2 linked regions of the Bombyx mori genome follow. The protein of the gene in region 1 interacts with the protein of each later gene in a pairwise test. Links are inferred from orthologs where the notes say so. Each region holds a gene or a part of one and is shown on either strand. Other genes may lie near its edges. The genes, in order: B-cell lymphoma/leukemia 11A and nuclear receptor subfamily 2 group E member 1.

What was found.
Region 2: the proteins of B-cell lymphoma/leukemia 11A (region 1) and nuclear receptor subfamily 2 group E member 1 interact in a two-hybrid assay, tested with the Homo sapiens proteins (2 studies listed by BioGRID). The link is inferred for Bombyx mori from reciprocal best matches to the Homo sapiens genes BCL11A and NR2E1.

The regions. Positions count from the first base shown.
Region 1 is NC_085124.1:5,042,751-5,047,135, forward strand, and holds the start of B-cell lymphoma/leukemia 11A, read right to left. Parts: upstream 2,972-4,385; 5' UTR 1,844-2,971; coding exon 1,807-1,843; intron 1-1,806. UniProt on the Homo sapiens protein: Transcription factor. Associated with the BAF SWI/SNF chromatin remodeling complex. Binds to the 5'-TGACCA-3' sequence motif in regulatory regions of target genes, including a distal promoter of the HBG1 hemoglobin subunit gamma-1 gene.
Region 2 is NC_085107.1:4,787,027-4,791,292, reverse strand, and holds the start of nuclear receptor subfamily 2 group E member 1, read left to right. Parts: upstream 1-1,323; 5' UTR 1,324-1,783; coding exon 1,784-1,799; intron 1,800-2,319; coding exon 2,320-2,556; intron 2,557-2,637; coding exon 2,638-3,356; intron 3,357-4,266. UniProt on the Homo sapiens protein: Orphan receptor that binds DNA as a monomer to hormone response elements (HRE) containing an extended core motif half-site sequence 5'-AAGGTCA-3' in which the 5' flanking nucleotides participate in determining receptor specificity.

The sequences.
Region 1 (4,385 bases):
CCAGTAACCACTTAACACCAGGTGGGCTGTGAGCTCTTCCACCCATCTAAGCAATAAAAAAATAATCTAATAGTAGAACAAAGATCTGTTAGATGTTATTACGTATCACAATTTTATTGTAAAGAAAAATAATTATTTGAGATTTCGAGGTCTTATTTCAATATAGATCTACTGTAGGTGTTATGGTTAAGGCAAGCCATGACTTTCAATCCACGCTGATAAATAGGATAAATCGGAGGTAGCAAGATGGAGTTATTCGTTATATCGAATATAGAGTCTTCATTCTTCGATTTCAGTAGAATCAAAAATAATTATACAAACTATTGACGGGTTTTTGAAAATTAAGCTTTAAAATAAATAATATCTTAATCAACCGTGACCTCGAAAAATGTGTTATTCGAATAAATTAAAACTGTATTATTATTTTAGTAACAAAAGTGGCTGTCTAAAGAAATAAAGAAAAAGGTAGCCATACGTTTGTAAAAAAGCAAATGGTCATTGCGGTTCTTACATTATTAATATTTGTATATTGGATTTCATTTTATGAACTTCGTCGGTGAACGATTTTTTTCATTTTTATTGTTTTAGCGTGACTGACTTGGTTCTTATCAATTGAATTCTCACTCTTTGCTGAACCTTAACAACTTAAAACACCTTTAACGTTTCCACAATTATTTCAGAAATTAGCAGTACCGAGGTACTAAATCCATAAATACAATATCAACGGTTACAGCAAACTAAGTTGATAATTAGCTGATAAATCTATTTTTTAGTTAGTAATATATTATATTAAGTTCTTTTTTTGCAATATTAAAAAAAAATACGAACACTTTTTCACAGGACTGTCTTTTTTGCGGAGTCTGAAATTTCGAAAAATGTGTCCATTCATTTCTTGATTTCAGTTTGCTTAATTTTTTTACAGAACAATAAAATAGTATAATTCTGAAGCATCTAAATAGCGGTAGATTTCGTCTGCCTATTTATGTAACAAAATGAAATATTTTTGAACGTCAACTTTTAAAAGTCAGCGGTCTATTCCGTCATTGTCCCTTAAAAAATACTCATCAACTGTCCGAGAATGTATGAAAGCGGCCACTCCATTCATTTTCCCTTCGGACGAATGGTGACCACCTCGTAATGTCAATGTTGACGTAAGACGGGGTAATAAGTAGCTCGTCGTTGTATGAATAGACTCTCAGATGGGATGACGTCGTATGTGTGTTTGCGAGTTTTTTTTTTTCTTCTAAATCTGGCGTTCGAATACTTTTTAAATTTGTACCGAGAAAATGATTTTTCTTTACGTTTTTTTTATTAAAAATAGTAAAATGTATAACATATATTATGTTCTATTTAGTTTCTAATTTATTAATTACTCTAGAAATAAAAAGTGGATTACAAATTTTGATTCACGTCTAACCTCCATAACAGAGAAATTTATCAGGTCACCGTTAGATAAACAAGAATCATGAAAGAGTAAAGATAAATCATTTTTGAAATTATGTACATGTTTCACATTGAAACATGTTTAAATAAGTTAGATGCACATCAAGATGTTTGTTTTTGGTTATTTATTTTTGAATTGCGATTCCTTGAACAAGTAAAATATATTTCTACAACATACGCTTTAGATTTTAGGTTTAGATTTTAACGATATTTTTGTTTGAACACATCATTAATATTTGCGTCCGTATTATTTAAAAATGTTCGAAAACATAAATTAACACTATCACACAATGATTGACGTGTTTTATTCGATATCGCTAAAGACAATTTTCGTACAAAAATAAATCATTATCGGGGCCTTACCTTGCGCGATGCGTACAGCTGGCATTTTGATTCTCATCTTGATTTGGTCACCTATTTTTAGATCTTCGACAACTTGTTTTATCCTTAGAAACAATTTATCTTAATATGTCTCTATCAGAAGACAGTTCGTTAAACTTCACATGTGCCGCCGCCGGTCCAGCGGTTTATCGTGTTCATAAAACGTTTCTGATAACGGAGGTCGACTTATCACAAATCCTCCTACGAGTGTCCGACGGTGTTTTAGAGCGCTCAATCATTTTCTTAAAGTACTCATCGCACGGAAAAACAAACAGTACTTAAGTTACTTTTTCCTTTTCATGTTGCGGCAAATCAGTTCACACGTTAGTTGAATGTTTCGCGTAAATCGACTGGTCATAAATAGGGCCTTATCAACACTTGAATGAGCGTCTCAGTGCACTATCTAATCTATCCGCGCCTAGTGGCGATCCTGCGATTCGGCAAACGGCTCGCTTGGTCACACTCCATTTACTAACATCTGTTTAAACTTCTTCACTTGAAATAACAAATTTTCAGTCACTGTCCGTCGTCGAAATTTCTATAGTCGATATTCGAAATAATAAAATAAATTTACGAACGTTATTAATGTATTAAAATAAAATGGTTTTTATGCAAATATACGTGAATATTTCGTAATGTTTACGAGAGCGATCGCGATCGTATATGTGTCGCGTGCGGTGCGAGGCAGGTGCGAGGCCAGCCGCCCGCTCTCGCCCGGTGTCCGAGAGCGTCTGTCCTGTGTCCCTTCACGCGAGGGCTCCACGGCCTCCGCGTGTCCACGACTAGCGCCGTCTCGCTCCGCCGGCCGACGATGCCGCGTGCGAGTCCATACGAAGTAGCCAGGGGTTACTCTCGGTCGCCGCCGTCTCGGCTGTTCGACGGAGACGGCTGCCGCCGACGCCGATCAGCTCACACATGCTCCCGAAAGAGACGGCTACAAATCACAAGTGCCGTGCGTTGGTGTGCGTGCGCGGGTGGGGCGAAGATGCAACGCGTACAAAAGAAAAAGGGATAATATTTGCTTGCATATTTCATGACTCGATTAGAAGATGGAATTTTTAATTGAAGGGACGGTAAGCGCGGTCAGTGTACAGTTTCAGGGCGTGCTTATATTTAAAGCTCCGAAACTTGAGTGCTCGTTTGAAGTTGTGAGGTACTTTTATTGTGAGGCTTAACTTTTAAGAGCCTGAACGATAAAACGGTAAATACGTAAAGTATGATTTTATAAGTAAAATATGTCCAAAATTTTATTAGGATGTCCAAAGTAAATTCAGGAAATTGGAGAACGATGCATTTAGTCTTACTACCAATAAATTTCACTAAATCTCATTAAATAAAGTCCATTTTATGAAATTAGGTACCCGGTTCTTTTAATACATTATTTTATTTTTTTGTATAAGCATTATTTTTTTTAAAACATTACCAGACTCTACCTCCGTAGTACTGAGCTACGCATGCTACGCGAGCTAGCAATGTTTTTCCCTAGCAACAAAACATTTGGAAAAATGCATTGATTGCATATTTTATTTACGCTCTCATAAGTAGCGTCTAAAGCGAATATCATTTACGATTTATAAATCTCATTATGTTGTTATATACGCGCGTGATATTATTCCGTTTGCCTACGAAAAAAAAAAAAAAGAAACGTCTTAACAATTGCAGAAAAGAAAAATAACCCTCCTCCAATCACTAAATTAAACGTTAAAAACCCGTCTAATTTGAGTAAAAGCGCAACACGTAGCCAAACTGTCGTTTCCACTGAAAGTTTCCGGCGTTTTTTCTTCAACGTTATTTTACTTAAGACGCCACGAACAACTTATCTCGGTCGGTCCTTGACTTTAATAAGTTTTATGAGTGTCAGTCGAGACTTAACCGGCGCGAGAACGAGCCACGAAAACGAAGTTTTTCATAATTGTTTCCAGACTTTGACGGCGTTCGATTATTGAAAATTTCGAATCTCGGTTCGTTTGATTTTGGAATTGTTTTTTTTTTTTTTTTGTTTTGTTTTAAGAATGTCGAGATTGTTTTAGGTTTGTGATTGTGTTTTGTTTGACTGTGTTGTAGAAGAAGTAAATATCTATCAGGGCTATCAGACGTTCAGTTGTTTTGGATTATTTGCGGCAAAAATTTAAATTTTCGTATGCAATTCCACGCTTTAGAGTATCGCTTGATTAAGGTCTGTTTTTATGACACTGCGTCATCTGTTTTCCTATTTATTCCGATATTATGAAAGTAATAAATAAAAATAAATTTGTCAGGAGAGAAAAAATATTTGAAATATTCATTATTTATCTCGTCTTCTAACGCGGAACTGTTTAAGTACCGCTTGACCAAACACACCCCCAAAGGCTATTTATTCCAAACTTAGTTAAACTGGTCACTACAGCTGTCCGGCGCGATATAAAATAATACTATCTCTTTCATATGTATACATGTGGATACTGAAAATTGAGACGACTCAAGGGTTGGGTGTTTTCCTTCGCGGAAACCCGGGAGTAACAGGTTAGATGTACGGCTGTCTCGTTCATGTGTGGGAGTACGTGAGTATGTGGAAAGGGATA
Region 2 (4,266 bases), on another chromosome or scaffold:
GCTTGTTGTGTATTAGCAATTTATTATTATTATTTATTTACCTAAAGATCGTTGATAAATTAAGATATGGATTGTCACGTTAATGGGATAAATTTATTTGAAAATTTTGCATATTAGAATTTACTAATATAATTGAACAGTACTTTTGATTTTTTATGAACTAATCTAACACCTACATGGTACACTTCATATACACAACTTTTATTACTTCTAAATTAAGGGACAACATACCCGTTGATGCGTGGGAAAATATCAACACATCTATCTGTTACCAAATGGCTACTTACAAAGTGCTCTTTTTCCCATCGACGATCGTAATTAATAACCAGTCGTTTTGTTTTCCCCGGATAAACGTCACGCGACGGGATGAAACAACCCTGCAGGTGGACATTCGCACGGGTAAAACTGATAAGCGTCATTAGGGTTCATTTAAAATGGGATAGTTTTTTTTATATTCGATGTAAATATTAAAGTTTTGATATTGTTAGACTCAATTAGTCTAGGCCATCAGCGCAAAAGTGGCATAAACCACAATTTTTTTATATTCAAGCTTATATGACGTATATTCGAATTTATTTAAAATATATGTAATAAATTTTGATGCAAAACCGGCCTATCCTTAGTTTCACCCATAGATAATAGATAGCTTTGTCAACATAATTTTTGCGCGTATTGTTTTTTTGCTTACTCAATTTCAAATTCATGAAAATTCAAACCTAATTGCCTCCATACTAACTATGGTAAGCTTAGGCCACTTTTGCGCTGACGGCCTCAATTATCTTCTGACGATGAGATCTTTCTCATAGTTCATCCAATCTTACGAGCAATACCACCAGTATCGTCATTTTATTCGTCTACCCCAATTCTCACCTAAGATTGAGTGTGCGTTTTGGAATTCAGTGTGTGTGTGTGTGCGTGTGTGTCCGAGCCAACCGTTGTTACTGTACTTTTTTGTTGCTTAAATGGGTGAATGAGCTCACGACCCGCCTGGTGTTAAGTGGTTACTGGAACTCATGGACATCAAGAACGTAAATACCGCCATCCACCTGACACGTGAATCCTAAGTCTCAGTTTTACGGGTGCCCCACCCTTCAAACCGAGATCATCTCACCGACCCATTTACTCTGATAACAAATATCAAAATGTATCCGTTATCCTTATCAAATTATTTTTAAGCGTTGAAGCAAAACAATAATAATTCGTAGGTAGTCAAGAATTTTAATGGACTTGCAAACCTATAACTATTTATACATTTAAAAGAATTACTACATGTAAAACTACCCTAATTATTTAAAATACGAAAACTGTCATTATCTATGACCGTTTTATTGAGACATTCCCAAGCTCTTTGCTGTAGTGAACTGCATTGTCTCGTATTTTTGTATAGTAATAGTTTTTGTCGACCTTTTCATTCGACACCGCGTTTCCTGCCATGCTCGCAAGTGCTTACGTTAATACAAAACCGCTCTGACTGAATGCCTTTATGCCTTTTTGACTACGGCCGTGTTTGGAGGTGTATTAAAAGATGTATTATCTTATAAATGCTAAACATCTATCGTGGGACCGTTTCGAACAAATTATGAAGTGCAAAAAACATGCGTATTGTTAAACAGGAATCAGAGCATTTGCTGCGTTGTGTTTAGACAATTTTATTTCATTACTATAGGTAATGTTCGTTTTGGTGTATCGGTAATATTGGATTTTTGTACAAAACAAGTTTAAGTAAAGTGTTTGAACAAGTGAGCGTGTATTGTCAAGAAAGAAAATCTTTAGATTGCGCCAAATGGAATCAATGACAGGTCATCATTATACATACATATACAAGGTCCGGAATCCGATGAACCTTTTTGTTGAGACCCTTCATAATTAACGATAAAACCAACCTCAAATCATTGACGATAATTACTTTGCTCATTTGACAGTTTCAAGGGCACCGATAGCTATAAATTACAGGCACCTCCCCTAGTGGGGCGGAGCCCTAGCCCACCCTGCCCCGGACGTCGATCTCATTGTCCTCAAATCAAATAATTGTGACGTTGATTTATTAATCTTTAAAACTTTTTTTTTGTACCGTTTAGAATATAGATTTCTGATATAGGTATGTAACAATTTAAGATTAAATTATAATTTTCGGTGTGATGAGACAAGATTAGATGAGTACTTTAAATATAATTACACTTCCTGCAGGTTTAACTTTTTAACGTCATCTTAATTATCATTGTAAATTTTTGGCGTTGTTCTTCAGAACAAATACTAATAATAATTGTTTGTAGGGTCAGGTTAATTTTTACAAAATCGTTTTTTTTTTTGTTCAATTAGGTCGCATTCTGTACGATGTGCCATGTGCCGTGTGCCGCGATCACTCGTCGGGAAAGCATTACGGCGTATTTGCATGTGACGGGTGCGCTGGCTTTTTCAAAAGGTCCGTCAGGCGAGACCGTCGCTACACCTGCAAGGCACGCAACCCTGGCGGGTGTGTGGTTGATAAAGCACACCGAAATCAGTGTCGAGCGTGTAGACTTGCCAAATGCCTGGACGCTGGAATGAATAAAGACGGTAGGCGTCAAAAACAAACAGAATATAAATTAACTATAAAATTCCTCTAGCTTTGATAATTTATATGCAGATTTTTTTCAGCTGTTCAACATGAAAGAGGTCCTAGAAACTCTACGATTAGACGACAAATGGCATTATTTTTGAAGGATCCTGCGTTACCAACACCAGAAATGGGACTCACAGTTCCACCTCCATTAGATTTAGCGGTACCCAAGCACAACTTTATGTCCCCGCCGCAAAATTCCTTATTCCAACATCCGTACCCGTTCAATAGAATTCATATGATTAATCCTTCCGTAGTCAACATATCACTGAAAGCGCCTTCGCCTCCACCTATCACAGCTGCCTTGTTATCTCCAAAGGATCCAGAAGCGATGTGCGAAGCTGCAGCTAGATTACTGTTCATGAACGTTAAATGGGCAAAGAATGTTCCCGCGTTCGCATCATTATCATTACCAGACAGGCTACTGTTATTGGAAGAATCTTGGAAGGATTTGTTCATAATCGGTTCAGCTCAGTTTTTGTACCCATTGGACCTCAAGATTCTATCTGAAGGAAACGCCAGAATAGATAGCCGAGACGTGGAAATGTTCGAAACTTCATTAGCCGAAATTGTTAAAGTCCATCCAGATAGTAACGAGTATGCCTGTTTAAGAGCAATTGTACTGTTCAAAACGAGCTTTGTAGATGTTAATATATTATGCAGAGGTCAGTCACAGATAGGCTCTGAATATAAGAGGCTTCAAGATCTCCCCGCGGTTGCAGCGTTACAAGACCATTCGCAATTAGTACTAAATGAGGTGAGTTTTAAATTCTAAAAGGTTTTCCATACGATATATAATAACATAAACACTTTTATTTTATTAAACTCTTTATTGCACACCAAAACACAATTGCAGGTAGTTTAATAATCTAAAAGTACATATTATTATCCGCAACACGCTTCGTCAAAAAGTACAATACTTACTTTCAGCTACAAGCGTCGTCATAAGTAACTTATAGGTCCACGCAAATAGCAATGCGCGCATAGGCATCGGCTAGTCAAAGAAGCCACTCTGGATCGCACCCGGCCCGAAAGTACCCATAATTAAACTGTATAATTTAATGTTAATTTTTTTTATTGCTTTGTTTAGTGGCCGATGGTTGGTTCATGATTCACATAGAATTAACACGTTGACTGTCGTGTAGGTCACCGGTGCCCTACGCGGCCTACTGAAGTAATTATGTTGATTTCTCTCTTCGATTTTCTTCCTAAGGCGCCGTAATATCTAGTAGATTTTAAGAAGACGAATCCGAAGATACTGAGAATGAATCTATTTTCAAGAGACCAAAAATATTAAAATATATTAGAAAACAAAAGAACGCAAAGTTGACGCTTATCACTAATTTTATAAAATAAAAGCCGTACTCGCCCGCTTCGCTGGGCTTTTAAAATCAATATTATTATTTATTGTCATTATTATTAGGGAGTCCATTATAAATATTAGCCTATCCATTACGTACATGTATTTTCTACATGGATACCAAGTTTCAAGTCAATCGGATGCATGGTTCAGTAGTTATAACTGAACATCCGTAAAAAACCAATGTAGATTTAGATATTAGTATAGATAGCCGCTGAAAATGAAAGCTCATGTTTGTTGTCTCTGTTAGGGAGATCTCATGAAATATTTTGATTTTATAACCAAAACTTAAATATGATTTTACCTC